Linked DNA regions of Lonchura striata. The protein of the gene in region 1 binds, or shares a complex with, the protein of each later gene. Links are inferred from orthologs where the notes say so. Each region holds a gene or a part of one and is shown in the gene's direction. Other genes may lie near its edges.

What was found.
Region 2: the proteins of MYO5A (region 1) and MLPH are in contact, whole or in part, in a crystal structure (PDB 4KP3), measured with the Mus musculus proteins. The link is inferred for Lonchura striata from reciprocal best matches to the Homo sapiens genes MYO5A and MLPH. Residues at the interface, in NP_034994.2 of Mus musculus: Asp1524, Val1527, Arg1528, Leu1531, Thr1532, Ile1535, Asn1536, Lys1539, Ser1570, Gly1571, Leu1588, Thr1589, Asn1590, Phe1591, Asp1592, Leu1593, Ala1594, Glu1595, Tyr1596, Val1599; in NP_443748.2 of Mus musculus: Lys184, Lys186, Arg187, Leu188, Leu189, Ser190, Phe191, Arg192, Asp195, Phe196, Glu197.

What each region holds. Positions count from the first base shown.
Region 1 is NC_134613.1:12,472,909-12,481,282, forward strand, and holds the start of MYO5A (unconventional myosin-Va), read left to right. Parts: upstream 1-4,736; 5' UTR 4,737-4,893; coding exon 4,894-4,920; intron 4,921-8,374. UniProt on the Homo sapiens protein: Processive actin-based motor that can move in large steps approximating the 36-nm pseudo-repeat of the actin filament. Can hydrolyze ATP in the presence of actin, which is essential for its function as a motor protein. Involved in melanosome transport.
Region 2 is NC_134610.1:38,435,727-38,443,919, forward strand, and holds the start of MLPH (melanophilin), read left to right. Parts: upstream 1-4,886; 5' UTR 4,887-4,956; coding exon 4,957-5,189; intron 5,190-8,193. UniProt on the Homo sapiens protein: Rab effector protein involved in melanosome transport. Serves as link between melanosome-bound RAB27A and the motor protein MYO5A.

The sequences.
Region 1 (8,374 bases):
TGAACTCCTGAAGAGGCAGTAAATTATTTCCTTTTCTCTGTTGTACAGCAGCCCCTCATTGGCTTTGTGGAAATAAATATCTGGAAAGGTATTTCTGTAATGACTTACTGAGAAATAGGTAACTTTTCATATCAGAAAATAGGATTGAACTCCAGTTCATGCTTATGATGAAGGTTGTAAGTACTAGATAGACAAAATACATAGTTGGTATTAGGTGAACTGATGTACTTAAAACATCTGAGTTCAATGAAATCAGAATATTGAAAGTGGAATATGATCCACAATGTAATTGATTTTCATATAGGTAGTCACAGCCTTCACAGTCTTTGGGAGAACAAGAAACTAAAAAGATCAGTTTACAGAACACTTTTTCTTTAAAAAATAGTTTGGAAACAGCCTGTTAGCACCAATGTGAGTATCACAAGAGAAAACACTTAAAGATGCATGTTTTTAGAAGCTTGTACTTTGTGCTGAGATATTCAGAAAGGTCTTGGGGTATAAAGGACTGCTAGTCAATACCAGTGCTGGCCCATATCTTCTGCAATGCTCTCTTTGAGAAGCAAACAAAATGGTCAAGAGAAATTGAATAGTCTTTATTTGGTCCTGTTTTGATCAGAACATACAGTGTCTACGTAATGTTTTTGATTCAGAGAAGCAGTTCCAGAGAATTTCAAAATTGCTGACCTGATTATTTTCAAGTCTGTATAGCCCTGTTTTAGTAGTTAGATAGGCTTTGTCAAGCCTGTCCTTATTTCTTACCCTCCACTAGTATTAAAAATACTAGTATTTTGCAGAACAGTTTGAAGAAATGGACCTACTCGACTTCTTTAAAAACTTAGGCTGGAAGAATAACAAGGAAACTGGAAATATTGAAGCAAGCTGCTTTTCATAAATGTTTGTTCTAATGTGAAAAATCCTTCTTTATTTTTCTATGTATAGATGAAATTAAAACTTAATGATAGGATTGGGCCTGAAACAAATGTTGAACAGCTTAAGGTGACTTGCTGTGTATTGTCTGGTGCCACTATTCTGTAGCTCCCCTAAGGTGAGTTCTCTTGATGTTTGGGAAGGTTTAAAAAGATAGCCATTTAAATTTAAACATTCCACTCACTTAGCTACAACTCAGCTTGTCCTGCTGGTTGGACAACACAAGCTCTTCCAATGCTCACTCAGTGACTTGCAGTTCCTAAGATTACTACAGATTCAGCTATGAATATATTCTCCATGTGTATATTTGAAGTACTGTAATACTAACTATGTCAGTGACTGATTATGAGCCTTCACATCTGACAGACCTCAGCAGCAGGCACAGCTATTTTGATTCTGTACACTGTATAAAACTGAAGTCCAGTAGTCACTTAACAGTAAATGGAACATGACTGCAGATTGATGCTTACTTTCAGCTTACTCCAGCAAGATAACTCAGCTATCCAAACTGATGTACATAATGTATTATATGAGTTTTACCATTTGATAATTGCCTTTTTCAAAGAAAACCTGTCCACACTGTAGACTGGCAGTCCCTTTCATATCTTGCCTTTAAAGATAGACAGTGTTTAGTTGTTAGAGTAGTACTCATGTAGGCTTGTTATAGCAGATAGCACCAACATTTTATTTGAGATAGTTAAGTGGATTAATTACAACTTCACAGATATGTCCCCAAATCTGTAACACCAAAGGCTTCCCTCTCATTGTTCTTGATGTAGTAGGACAGTGTTTGTGTAAAGGCCACAGGAGTACATTTTGTTGGACATATTTACACCCAGTCAAGATGTTAAGGTGATAAAAGTGTCAATTGTTCTTTACAAACTTACACGTTGTATAGTATACAGAATAAATCGATTTACTTAGTTTTTATTGCACCATGGAGGTTTGTCTCATCTTTACTGTGGTTTCCTAAACAATACAGGATACTTCGGTATTCTCTGTGGAAAATTTCTAAACTCTAAATCTTGCTACTCTGTATCATTAAAAATATGACTGGGCTTTGGTTTCTAGTATGTTAGACTGCAGAATTACTTTAATGTAATCACATTTATATATATTTCAGTGCTTATTTTTCTATTAAGGCAATTAAAGCTTATTGTTTGAAAACTCCGTAACAGATGATTGTTTGGGTCCCTTGCACTGAATGAAGGGGATGTCTGGGAACCAGCTTGGTGCAAAGAAGTTTGCATTGCTTTAGACTGTTGGCCTAAATATGGCAACAATTCGAAAAACCACAATGCTGGAAAAAAGTCCCACTACTTTCCCAGTCAGCCCGAGGCTTGGTGCTGATCTGTGCACAGCTTCCAGATCCATGGGGTGTTATTTACACAGTTAGCTCAGTCCCCAAGGTTATGCAGCACCCTCTGTGCTCTGCATACTTGCATGCTACATGATTGTCTCTCTTCCTACATATCTCTTGTATTACATTTCAGAGTTCTTAACTGTTCCCTCAGTACTGGCTGGAACCAGACCTGTTTGTTTCCTACAGCTGAAATCCCCAGGCCTGGGCCTTGAGGTGTGAGAATATGGCCTTGGCAGAGAACTCTCTGCTCACTCATTGTACAGTGTGACAGCAGAATAGGAGGTCCTGTGTGAGAAGGGAATTTATCTGCCAGAGTTGAACAGGTCACAGATATGAACGGAACACAGATGTAAGAAAAAGGATAGGACAAATGCTTCTTAACTGCTGAAAAAAAATTGCATAAAAATTCAGTATAAAATTGTATGGGGGGACTGTGTCAGTTCCATCATTTATACATTGTTATCTGGAACACCTTGGGATCTATGCTCTGAAAAAAAAATGCCATCTTTTCAAAAAGATGTTGTGTGCAAGGTAAGAGGTGAGGTCTTTCAAAATCTTGCCAGCAAATATTTGATGCAAGAGATGCATCTTAAAGTAGTCGGTCTGGATACATTACAAACAGGTTGTTTCTTGGCAACTTTCAATGCCCTCAATTCCTGTCCTTAATGGCAGATTTGAAATCCTGGTTTATGCAAATTGTGTCAAATCATAGCATATTTTGGACTCATATCTATTTTTTGCTGTGGCTCATAATTACATTTGGCTCATGAGCTCCAGCTGTGAGTGACTGAGATCAGTAATCCACAGTCCAAGCAAACTCCTGAAATGAGTGTCTTAGAATTTAAGAATTTAGCATAAATATTGTGAGGAAAGGGTTCAAAAAATCCGATGTGAAGCATCACACCAAGAGGAGGTCCAGGTCCTTTCTGAAAACAAAACTGAAATTTCTGTTTGCAGTTCCAGCGTTGCACCTGAAAGATGACTGGCAGCTTTAGTACAGATCTCTCTGGTTTGCCTTGGCAGATGGATGAAGAGCAGCTGTGAAAACTGCTTAGCCAAAACCTCACCCCTGATCTGGACAGCAGCTCCCAGGAGCCCATTCTGGGCTTTTAGTAACACTGAGAGTGACTGTCCAGTTCTGCTGGAGTGAGCATCCTGGTTTGGGACAGCAACAGCAGTCATGGCTGATGAGCCTGGACGTTCTGACAGAACCTGGGAAGGAATATATTTTTAAATTCTGTTCACATTATTTTGAACTCTCCCAGCAAAATCAGGTGTTTCTACAAATCTCTATATGCTAACCTTAGTTTCCTAGCTGTGAAGGCCATACGTCTGCACCTAATCCAAACAATTTTGGGTAAGCTACGTTATTTTCATCTTGGCTATTTTCTGTTTGTGCTTGCTGCTTTCTCCATCTCCTTTTTAGATAGCAGCAGTAAAGTCCAGATAAGCATTTATTGGGAGTGTTTGTTTTGGGAGTCAGGGTAGTGTTTTCTCTCTGTTACTAAATTGATGAGTGATTTCTGACCCATTGCTTTCATGGTTCAGTTTCTCTGTAAACAGGTTTGTCTGTTTCTTTGGTAGTTGCGGGTTTCAGGGGCAGTGCAGATACTGCCCACTGAATACACAGCTGTTAGCTAAACAGCTGAATTCTGAGAGAGGATAGATAGTCAAAAGCAGTTTGGTGGAGAGTGTGGCAAACTTGCCTATGTTAAACTTGGTTTGTATTTTGGACTAGGAGTAGTAGGATGCATTTCCAAGGTGGAAAACAAAAACAGAGAAAGAGAGAATAGCTTCAGTTTTGCTGTCAAAAGAACTCTTGACATAACCTGAGCTGTACAAAACAGTCATAAACAAATCATAAAGGAGTCGGTTGTCATCTTGAGACCTTGCTGAAGCACGGACTATGCTTTTCATTCCCCTTTGTCATGGATGTTAAACTTCTCAACGATGTGTACCTCCATGTCTTGGTGAGAATGGGCTTAATTACGGAAGGAACTGGTTTGGGCCCATTTCCTTTCAGTGCCTTCAGTAACGGTTTGAATGACAAATACAATCAAGCTGTAAATAATTTGAAGGATGGGATTAGAATCGGTGCCCGTGAAAAGACGGGACTGGAGGGTTCCCTGCGCCTGGTGGTGCCCGCGGTGCGGAGCCTCCTCCGCGCCTCGAGCAGGGCACGGGCTGGGGACCAGAGAAGATCAGAACTATCCCTGATGACATAACGAGTAATTTGTTCAGTGTAGGAGAGAAAGAATAAAATGAATAATAATTTTAAAAAAGGATGGTAAGGGAGAGGAGGAATACCGGTTCTGGCATAGCGCGGGGGGCGCGCAGCCCACTGACGGCTCGCGCAGGGGTCCGGGAGCGGTCCCGCCCGCCGGTGGGAGGCAGCGCGCCGCCCGCCCGGCCCGGCCCGGCCCGGCCCGGCCCCGCCGCCGCTCCCACAATGCACAGAGCCCGCCAGGTAGCAGCAACATGGCGCGGGCCGCCGCCTGAGCATCCTCCTCCTCCTCCTCTCCTCCTCCTCCTCCACCCCCCGCCCGCCTCCGCCTCCCGCCGCCGGGCTGCCGCAGAGGGGCCGCCCGCCCGCGCCCTGCGCCATGGCAGCCTCCGAGCTCTACACGAAGGTAGGGCGGCGGCGGGGCCGGGCTGCGCGGGGCGGTGGGGCCGCGGGGCGGGCCGGGCGGGGGCCGGCGGGGCAGCGGGGGCTCGGCCGGGGCAGCGGGGGCTCTGTTCCGTGGGAGCAGCGGGAGCGCGGGCGCCGCTGCCCCGGCGGGGCCGCATCCCGGCGGGCGCGGGGCCGCTCCCGCCGCCGGCGAGCCCGGTGCCGGCGGCCCGGGCCCGCGGGAGCCGCCGCGCCGCCCCTCCCGCCCGGCTCCGCGCTCCGCGCTCCGGCGGCGCGGCCGGGATGCGCCGCGGCCGGGGCAGCGCGGTGCGGCGGCGCGGTTATCGCCTTCGGGCGCGCCGTCCCGCTCCTTGAGGAAAAACGGCTCCGAGGACATGAGCGCTCTGATATTCAGCTGCGCTTTTCGGTGACACTGCACCTTTGGATTATGTTCTTCTGGCAGTCGTTCAGAAGCCCTGCAGTCAGCAGCGATGCGCAGCGTGACTCTCATATGCTCTTTAATCAGACATTTTTCTAATCTTTTTAGTCTTGTGTGTTAGTATCTCATCAGCTTCTGCCTGGAAACAGTTACCGTCCTGTGCATCTTGATGGCAAAGCCTGCAACTTGAGATGTGGAAATGGTTATTTTCACTCCTAGCAATGCATTGTTTTCGTTGCTCCGCCTTGACCTGGTGCATAAATCTGAAAAAAAATGACAGAAAACAGGTCTTAAAGGGCAGAAGGGATGACAGAGGCCACTGGAATTGAGCAGGGCAGCACAACATGGCAAACTCCAAATACTACTTTCAAAAGGCTTGCACAGGCAAAGAGTGTTGGTAGGAAAGCCATGCCATCTGGATCCTTGAGCCACTTAGTTAAATGCTCCAGAATTATCCCCAGTCTAGCACTCTGCAAGGAAGGAAAGGAAACAGACTTTTTGTTTGGACATGGATAGGTCACCTTATTTGTAGAGCCCTCCCACTCAGGAGTGGTGGGACAGCAGTGACTGCATCAGGGCAAATCAAACCAGACAGTCCCTTCAACAGGGACTGCTTGCTCTGAGAGTGTATTTGTGTAGGAGAAATTGAATGTGAGAGGTGAGGTGCATGCCTGAACCCCCAAAAGATTAATTAAATACATGAATGATATGGCACACCTTGGTGTTTTGTATTTCATACAAGAATACCTCTTTGAACTATCCCAAAGGGATAAAATTTACCATTCTGGTCAAGAGAGTGGTGGTACTGCAGAGCTGTTTTCAGGCACCCCACAGACCTTCTCTGTGTAAGGAGTTATTTTAGAAATGTGGTTTTGATTCTTCCTCTCTGATGACGTTCTTCTTATGGAATTAAAATGTCTCATAAAGTGTGGATCAGACTACTTGCTTTTTTCCTTTTTTTTTTTTTTTTTTTTTTTTAATTCCCAACTTTATCTGACCTTGAATACTTTTCACTGAGTGGTTGATTCCTTTGGTCAGAAGCTGCTCCAAAAATGTGGGTGTGCTGTTGTCTTTGAACTGTGTTACAGCAGAAAACTCAAGGCCCCTTATAATTCCTGAGGAGGGCCTGGCTCAGAGTTGGGCAGGCCAGGGTAGGAAACCTGCTGGGTGCTCAAGGGAGACTCTGCTGGCTCTTTCCTCAAGTAATGGCAGCATGCTGCTTGAATAGCATTCACTAGATCATCCTTGATTAGGTAACGTAAATAATGGATTTAAGGTCAAACATGCTGAGGTAAAAAGAGCAAACGCAAAGTCAGACAAGTGCAGGGATGATCCTGCAGGAAGGACTGGCTGGGTGATGAAGGCCGGTGAGATTGTGTCTGTGCTTCTCTCACACCACAGGCTGTTCTTGTCCTCTTTAGAGACACATGTAGGCACAGAAAGAGTGAGTTTCACATCTTTTTTAACTGGTAAGCAGAGATTGTCATTCAGGGCAGCTGCTTAAAGTACCAGAGCTTCCAGTGTAGTGTCAGCTCTTAGCATATGGTGTTGGCATAGATACTTTGCTGGCAAGCAGGGTTGGGGATGAATTTTCAGCACATTGTTGCTGCTGTGTGCCCTGGAGCAAAGGCAGCTCTCCTACCCTCTCCCACTGGATGCCCCCATCCCAGCTTGCCTGTGTTTTTCAGGTGGCTGTGGTGGTGTGAGTGACTTGCAGCGAGGGTTGGTGAAGTTCTGTTAAAGACTGGATGAGCAGTGTTGCAAAGAAGTTGTTGGCATTTCTTCAGATGCTGTCTGAGATTGGCAGGACAGACTTCTTTCCAGCTGGGGGTGGTGGAAGTGGGGCTCTGCTGTATGCTCCAGTGTGTCCAGTTTGCTCGTAGGTTATCCCTTCAATATTGTAAACGCAGGCGAACCCAATGGGAAGAAATGATGATGTCTGACTCAATTCAGAAGGCTGAATTATTTCTTTATTATAACTATGCTAAAATAAATTAATATACTATATAAAAGGAGGATACTAAAACTACATACTACTTTCTCTGACTCTAACTCCCCCACAACTCGTGACCCTCTCTGAGAGTCCAGCCCCAGGTGGGTTGGATTGACCATCAGGCTCAAACAATCCTCACCAGAATCCAACTAAGCACTCACTCCAGGTAAACAATTCTCCAAACATATTTCACATAGGAAAAACAAGAAGCAGAAATAGAAATTGTTTTCTCCATTTCTCTCTGTGTACCTCTATGAAAAATCCTGAGAGGGAGAGAAATGTGCTTGCCACACTTCAAATTTGGGTTCTTTGCATATCAACATAAAGCTAGCATCCACTATCCCAACCATATATTGAAATAGCTGAAAGGAACTCTATTTTTCCAAGGTAATTTTTTTGTTAGAAACCAGCAATACAGACTTTTTTAAGAAGTCATGCCACTCCTGTGAAAACCCTATTGTTTTGATTCATCCAGATGTATTTCTAAATTTGGTGGCTATATAGCCAGCCTTGGAGTTGGACATGGTTGTAGTTAATCTAGAAAAATGGATTTAAGTTAAAGGACTCAAGTGCACTCACAAACTAGTTGAGAGCAGTGGGCCCAAACCATGAGGCTTTGTATTCCTGTGCCCAGTGACTCTGCAAATTCAGACTCTGCTTGGGGGCATTAGCTTTAATTTTGGGGTGAAGCAGCTTAAATCAGTTCCACGTCTCGAGCATTCTTACTAGAAACGTTATGCTTTTGAGCCTTGTCTGGTTGGATATATACCTCTAGCAGGTCTAGGTGGTCTTGTTGTACATTTATTTCTGAAAGTTTTGGATCTTTGACTTTGCAAACAGACTTAGGAGAGCCTTGGTGTGGTTCTTGGGTCGTTGTAGCCCCACTGAGCGATGCTTGGGTGTCACTGATCCATTTCAGCATTTCAGTAGCTGGTGGCCAACAACAGATATATACCTACTTCTGCTGACCCATAAAAATTGATAGAGACAATCTAGGCCATGTACTGGCCTTTGTTAAATGTAATTTGATTTCTGTGGAGATTA
Region 2 (8,193 bases), on another chromosome or scaffold:
CAAAGCCGAGCTGCCGTGCAGAACCTCCCAGGGAAGCTTGGTGTCGCTCCAGGCCTTGGGAATGCAGCGGAGCGGGGCGGCTGGAAGGGAAGGAAGGCTGGAGGAGCCGTGCCGGACCCTCCGCACTCCCCGTGCTGGCGGAAAATAAATAAATAAAGGAGACAACCCGGACCGACAGGGAAAGATGAAGAAAAAAAAAAAAAAAAAAAAAAAACCCAAAAAAACCAAACAAACAAACAAAAAAAAACCAAAGAAAAGGCACGCTGGAGACACTCGTCGGTCTTGGAAGGGGAAGGGATCAGTGGCGTCAGACCCCGGCCGGGTCCCAGAGCACGCCCCCAGCCCCAGGTGAGGGATCTCAAACAGATTTAAAGCCACTTCTTCCTCTCAGAGACCTCTGCAATGGGAGTCGATGGGGTTTTTATATAATATATTGCGTTGGAAGGGACTTCAAATCTTATCTCATTCCACTCCTCTGCTACCAGCAGGGACACCTCCCAGTGTCCCAGGTTGCTCCAAGCCCTGTCCAGCCTGGCCTTGGACACTGCCAGGGATGGAGCAGCCACAGCTGCTGTGGGAAACCTGTGCCAGAGCCTCCCTGCCCTTATTGTAAAAACTTTTCCTGGTGTTTATGTCTATATTGACCTCTATCTTTCAGTTTAAAACCATCACCCTTTGTGCTGAGGGGTGGGGCAGTCCCAGCTGTGGCTGGTGAGGGTGATGAGCAGGACGGCATTTGGGGGCCCTGGGAAGATCCTTTTCCTTTCTCCTTTCTATTTCATCTTCTCCATCCCTCACCAGTGCATCCCAGTGCCTCCAGTTTCTCTCCAGTGCATCCTTTTGATCCCAGAACAAAGGCAGGGAGCTGGGGCGGAAAAGGAGTTTAAACTGAGGGAAAACCCTCCTTTATTATTATTTGTATTTAAACTAAGACCCCTTCACCTGTGATTTAAAAGTTATCAATTGATCAAAAACCTGCCCTTTCTGTGTTTTTTGGGCTATCAATTAATTGACCAGGAATCCCCATTTTCCAGTTTAAGTGAAAAAGAAAGGTCTTTTTTGTGTCATGTGTTTATTTTGAATTTAAGGCAACACCCCACCCCCCCACCCCCCTGCCATTTTAATCATTTTAAGGTTTAAATTGAGAGGGAATCCCTGTTGTCCCTGACCTTTTTAGGGTTAAAATTGAGGGATATTACCCCATTTTCCCATAATTTGGGTATGGGTCCTATGGGGTTGTGAGGGCTTTGGGAGCTCTAAGGCCTGTAGGGTCTGTGTAGGCTATAGGGTCTGTAAGGGCTATCTGTTATATGAGGGATGACAGCTATGGGGTTTGTTAAGGGTTATGGGCTGTGTTAGGGATGTGAGGGCTGTGGGGGCTTTGAGGTCTGTTTGGGGTATGTGGGCTCTGGGGTCTGTGTAGGGTATGGGGGCTTTGGGGGGCTGTCAGTGCTGTGAGGCTCACGGGGTTTTTGAAGATCTGTAAGGGCTATGGGATCTGTGATGGCTGTTGGGACTGAGAGGGCTCCCTAATGGTCACATTGGTTGGGAAAAATGTCCTTATATCTTCAACCCCACAAATGATACTCCACAAACTTTGTTTTCATGTTCTCAGTGATAGTTTCCTAATTGCTACAGAGGTCAGAGCATCGTTATCCGTGATAATTAAAGTTGAATGGTTATTTTCTCTAAGTGAGGCTGTTGGGGTCATTCCAAATGAGATGTGGTCATGCCATAGCATAATTTAATTGCTGTATTAATGGATGAAACCCATGGCAATCCCTCGTGAGTCACATACAGAAATAGCAGTGGCATTGTACGTTCCTTCCCTGTCCTGCTTGTTCTTCTCCACTATGATGGTGCTGATAAGATGTCATTGTAAAGCTGCCAAGAAACTGAAGGGAGAAGGAATGCCATCCCAGGGATATCTCATGACTTGGAGATGATCGTGGAAGGATGGGGGGAGAGGCAGAGGCACTCAGGAAACTCCAGCAACGTGCCTGTTGGAGCTCCTGGTTTTGTTATGCTCCTGTGAATAAGGGTCCTGTGACCTCTGCCTGCGGCTTTGAAATGGGCTGGAGCTGCTGGTGGATGCTCCTGGTTCGACTCCATCTGGCTTTTGGAATCTCCTCTAGCTTGGTATTTGGGATGACCCCGTGTTGAGGGGAGCCAAAACACCTGTCAGTGTTGATGGAGTGAGAAACAAAGCTGGAGCTGACTCCACTGTAAATCACCATTTCAGCACCTCGTGTAGGCACATCTGCCCTCTGCAGCACTTAATGCAGCTGTTTGGAAAAATTGGGTACTGGAGAAATTATTGGGGTTTTGCCCCTTGGTTTGGCCCCTTCAGCAGGAAGAAGATGAGGATGTGGGAGTGCTGGGTGGCTTACTGAGGTGGTGTTTGCTGTCTTTAGAAGCAGCTGGATATTATCTTCGCTCATCAGTTTTGTTGAACTCTGATTATGGATTTACTTCCAGTTATCAGTTAAAACATTGTGAAATGAATGGCTGGAGGGGGGCCAGGCCACATGTTCCATACATATATCAGTTCACAGTTGTCTTACAAATAATTACCAAGAACTGCAAAGATAACAGTTCATGTGACTGTTACTTTTAAAAGAGTGGCCCTGCAGCTAGAAGTGCATTTCTCTTAAAGATGCCCCAGAAATCCATTCTTTTCCTCCCGTGGCCATAATCAATATCAGAAATGGAGCCTGGGATCCATCTATGCCTGGTTTCCCAGGAGAGGCTTAGCTTATGACACTTCCCTCTCCCATTTTGCCACCAGGTTCCCGATTCAAGTGGAATCAAGGTCCATTTGAGCTTCCAGCTGATAGGAAACACAAAACTTTTCCTTTCCATCCCTGCTCCTGATCTCCATCCCACACATGTGTGGTCACTGCAGAGGCTGGTGGACTTAGGCAGACCTATAATGTCATCTGGCCCTACAACTTGGAATCATAAAGGGTGGAAAAGTCTTCTAAGACTGACTCCAACCATTAACCTAACACTGCCAGTTCCACCACTAACCATGTCCCCAAGTGCCACATCCACATATTTTCTGAAGGCTTCCATGTGACAGTGTCTCAGTGTCTGAGTGGTTCTGGGTGCGTGGTTTGGTGCTGGTCCTTTTTGGGGGTTGTTTGTTTGTTTGTTTGTTTGGGGTTTTTTTTATGAGTTTGTAAGATCTGTGAGCCTTTATTCACGGTTCTATGATGGGAGAGGGAGCTGTGGGTGAGCAGGTTTAATTGTCCTCCTTAAGGCAGAGAATTGTTGGAAGCTGGTGATAGCTGGGTCTGAACTGCTAAAAATCTAAACTTCTTTGAAAGAGGGGAAAAAAGAAAAAAAAAAAAGAAAACATTTCTGTCTTTGCTGTTACACACATCAGTGAGCCGAGGGAGGAGAGTTTTCCTACAGAAACCGTTCCCAGGCAATAGTTTGCCAACAGAATACTTTGAATTTATTCGTGCACCCAGGACATTTCCCTTGAGGTGGTTTTCTGGCTAAGCCAGCCCTTTTTAGGGGGTATTGGCACTGCTGAACACTCGCAATTTTTTTCCCATGTTCATTGCATAGCAGGCCACATCTTCCTGGTTTAACGCAACCCCTTTATCCTTGTGGAGGAGAATGTGTTGGGATCTAGGGCGGTCAGAGGTGCTGGGTGATTGGAGCGGGAGGCCCTGGAACAGGGGCTCGTTGTGATGTTAATTATCGCTGTTGACCGCTCCCTGTTCGGATGCAGTGGGGCGCAAGGGCTCCCAAACACGCTTACATAAGGACCTGCCCGACTGATATCTGGCTCCTGCCAATAAACTGATTGCTTTTGTCGGGACCTCTGCTGGACGAGGAGCTGGAAATCAATTTCTGGCTTCCAGAGAAGATCATGCATTCCCGATATCCAAGCTCAAACACTGCATCTGTAGTCATCACTTTTCCTGCACAAAATCCATCCTAATTCGGGTTCAAAATACTTTTCTGACCCTATTCATGGAGTTTAATCTAATCTCTGTTTCAAGTGAGTTACCAGGGTGGATAATTCCCTGTATCCCTGGGTGGGCAGCAGGGATTTTAGTCCCACTAGGCAGAAGTTTTCCTCTTTGGTCTTGCTGTCTTGCTCCCTGTTTACATTCATGTCAGGGAAGAGAAAAAAAAAAAAAAAGAGTACCATCAATATTTGATCTCACGAAAGTGAGAAATGGGTTTACTTTGAACACAGAGGGAGTGTTTTACTGAGCAAGACAACAGCCTCGGCAGTCGGATATATATTACAATTTATATCTCTTTGCTTATGTGGTGTATTTAGCGCTTTTCTTAAAATCCTGTCAAACCGTCTTTTCTTGCTCACGGCAAACGAGGGAAGTGCTGCGTCCTAATTAAGCTGTTTGCCACGAGCAAAGCTCAGCTGCCCAAAATGCTGTGAGAGCAATACAGGACGCTAGTCTCTGGTATTGCGGGGAAGCCAGATGCGCTGAAGTTTTCCTCACAAACTGCTGCTAGGGGCAAAATTTGTGTAATGAGATGAGACACAGAAGAGCGGGCTGGGGAGCGGAGCATCCCGGTGGGGCAGGAGCCACCGCGATGGAGCCGGTCCTCCCGGGCGTGCAGGCACGGCTCCTCCCGGGGATGCTCCGCTCCCTCCCAAAGCCCGTGGCCTGCCTTCCCCGGGGAGGCGTCTGAAGGCTCCCTTTCATTCGCACACCCAGCATCAAGCAGGCAGAGTAAACATCTCCCGTAGCCCCAGCCAGGCGGGCGAGGTCCGGAGCGGCTGCAGCTGCGGGCAGCGCCCCGGGGGAAGGCAGGGCCGCCCTCCCGGCTGGCGAGGAGTCCCCGCAGCCGATAGGCACCGTGCCAGCCCTGCTCGGCGGCCGGCTCCGCGGGCAGGCTCGCCCGGCAGAGCGGCTGCGGTGCTGGCAGGAGCCGGCTGGCCTGCCCGCAGCTCTGCCCCTGCCCGGTTATATGGGCAGCCGCGGAGGTGGGGCTGAGCTCTTCCCCCTTCGTCAGCAGCATCCCATGGTACGGGACAGCGAGCGCTCGGGGAGCGCGAGTAACGGGATCGGCTTCACGTCTCGCCGCGACGAGATGGGCAGGAAGCTGGACCTCTCCAAGCTCACCGATGAAGAAGCCAAGCATGTTTGGGAAGTCGTTCAACGGGACTTTGATCTGCGGAAAAAAGAGGAGGAACGGCTGGAGTGAGTATCTGTTCTCCGGTCCCTGAGCTGGGGGCAAGCCAGCCAAAACCTCGGGTCCCCGTGGGCTGGAGGGACAAAACAACCTGCTGAGGCTGTGGGCGAGGAGGGACGGCAGGAGACCGGGCTGAGGAAGTCAAACACGGTTAATAGATTGATTACGTTATCAGCGGCGAGGTGACGCATTCGGCCAGCAAAGGTGCAAACTGGCGCCGTGCCACCGGCAGCGACGCGGATCGGTGACACCGTCGCACTTTATGGGGACAAATACCAGGAAATGCCTCTGTGAGGCTTGAGGCTGGTGGGGCTCTCAAGGGCAGGCTTCACCCGGGAGCAGAGGATGGGATTTGGCTCCCTTGGTTTTGCTTCATGTGATGGGTCTCGTGTGGTTTGGGCAGGAGTTGTTCAGTGGGTTCTGGGAATCCTGAAAAAATAACTGAGAGGAGTAGTAAAACTATTTTAGTAACTTTAAATACGCAATACCAGGGGCTGTGCTGTCCTGGAAAGGTTTTAGGGGCCCACAGATTGGAGAAAGACTGAGAAGTCACTGGGGCAGCAAATTCTCTGAATTTCCAAATCTTTAGTAGTAAACCTAGTACTACTAGTAAACCTACTAGTAAAGCTATTTTAGTAGACTTAAATACGCAATACCAGGGGCTGTGCTGTCCTGGAAAGATTTTAGGGGCCCACAGATTGGGGAAAGATTGAAAAGTCACTGGAGCAGCAAATTCTATGAACTTCTAAATCCTTATAAACAGGGTGTTGGATGAAAGTGCTGTTTAAAAAATGTTCTGTCAGATCAGATTAAATTTTGAGCATGAGAAATCGCAGGGCTTCAGGTTTTGTTCATGAGCTTCATCAGATGCTGAACTTAATAATGCCTTAACATATTTCAAAAAGCTGCAGTGATCCTCTTCAGGGTCTGGCCAAGTTATCATTATCCAAATGGATGGTCCATGCTCTCAGACTGGATTTGGGCTGTGCTGCACTCCCACTGAGCCCTCAGACCCTCCCAGCTCTGAATTTTATGTGCCAGGGCTGGTGTTGATACCAATGCCTGGAGACCAGGAGCTCATTAGTTCCTCTATCAGATCCGAAAGGAGGGGGGAGCAGTGATAGCCATCCTCAGTTTGGGATATCTGCATCCCCCAAAACCTTTCAATCATGGGACCCTCTTCATTTACACCAATGGCTACAAGAAACTCTCAGTTGTGTATTTTTCATTGCCTTGATTACTTTTTTTTTTTATTTTTTGCCTAAGAAAAGCCAGCCTGCGTGGGAGGCAGAGATAATTCAATATCATCATCTACTGCCTTCCTCTGCTGGTAGCTCTGAAGAGCAGGAAGGAGATCAGACAGGGGTATTTTAAAAAATTATCACCCTGCAAAGGGTGAATGTCTCCCTTGTGATGCATCTAAGCTCAGCCTGGAGGGAGGAGGTGGAGACATACTTTGCAGTGCCCTGCAGCAAAGAATTGGGCGAGGTGAATTCCTTCCTTACTTGACCTTGGCGCCAGACTGGGTTTATCTGGGTCTTCTCTGATGCCCAGGAAGCTTCCAAATTGGATACCATGCTCTGGGAGATGCAAGATGGGAGAAGGTCTTGGGATGCTCCTACCCAGCTGCTCTCTCTCCTCCTAAGAGCCATTTCCCCTGTTTTCTTATTTTTATTTTCTTCTTTAATTGTGCCCTGCAGGGGGCTGGCATTAAGCATTTGGAACTACATAAATTTCTGTACTTTCTGAATAATTTCTGCAACAGACCAGACCACCTGCCTGGGAAAGTCTGCCACATTCCTGAGTGCTGGACGTGGAGCTACACAAGAATTTTCTGCCTGTAACAAGCTGGGACATGATGTGACATTATCGGAGACCCTGCAGCCATTCACTCTGTGCTCTGACCAGTCCCATTTACTTTTCTATTCATTTACTTTTCTATTCACCGGGCTTGTCTCAACCTGCCAGCCTTGAAGAAATGTCCTGTCCAGCCCCTTCTCAGCTTGGTCTTTTTCTTCCCTTTTTGCTGCTTCTCTGTATTTTGTTTTTGGCAGAAGCTATTCATAAACAAGGGACAAAGCTGGCCACAGATGGCACAGGCATGTGAAGGCAATGCTTTGCCCAAAAAATTAAATAATGACCATTTTGAGGGATCTCTCCCTGGTTCTTTCCTGAAACATCCATGCCCACAACCCCATTTTTGGGGGATGGTTCCCTGCATCTCTCCTGGAGCTCTGTGGGTCCAATCCTGCTGCATCTGGCATCCCAACACCACAGATTTATTCATCCTGACGTGAGCAGAGCAGGGAAGGGGCTGGCTGCTGCTCCTGCCAGCAAGAGGAGACAAGAGGCATGCGGTTCCTGCGGGTTTTAAACTGGTTTGGCTGAGACTCTTCCTTCCTTTGGCAGGTCTGGTGGGTGAGGGAGGAGAGGTGAAGGGATCCAACCGGTCTCTTGGAACCAGAAAAAGCAGTTCCAGTAAAATAGATTGGATCCTGCTGGCAACAGCCTTAGCACGGGAGTGGAAAAGGAGTACAGAGTCCAACCCAAGGGTTTTCTATTTGAGGATTTCATTTCAGAAGTCACTTAAATTTACTGCTGGGACATTTGCACCAGTTTGTCCAAATCACTGCTAGGATAGTGAAGGGTGGATTTTACAAACCAGATGCCCAGTTTTCTGTCTTTGTGCTGGTCTGTCTTTGTGCTGGTTTTTACATCTCCCAGATGCAAATGCAAGTGGGTGTCACTCCTGTGTGACCACAAAGAGGAGTGACACCAAAAAATGTGTCTGGCGGTGTGTTGGCTGCCAGCTGGCCAGAAAATGCTTCCTTGGAAAAAAAATAAATGAAAAGCTGAGCCTTAATGTGCAAACTGATTAGGTTAAACAGAGATTGGCTTGCTTGACATGCCTGCCCTTCCCACTGCCAGTCACACCACTGCTCCCAGGGCCAGCCAGGCTCCTGTTGTGGTCACCCCGGCGTCAGTGTGGCACGGGGAGCATCACCAGTGCCT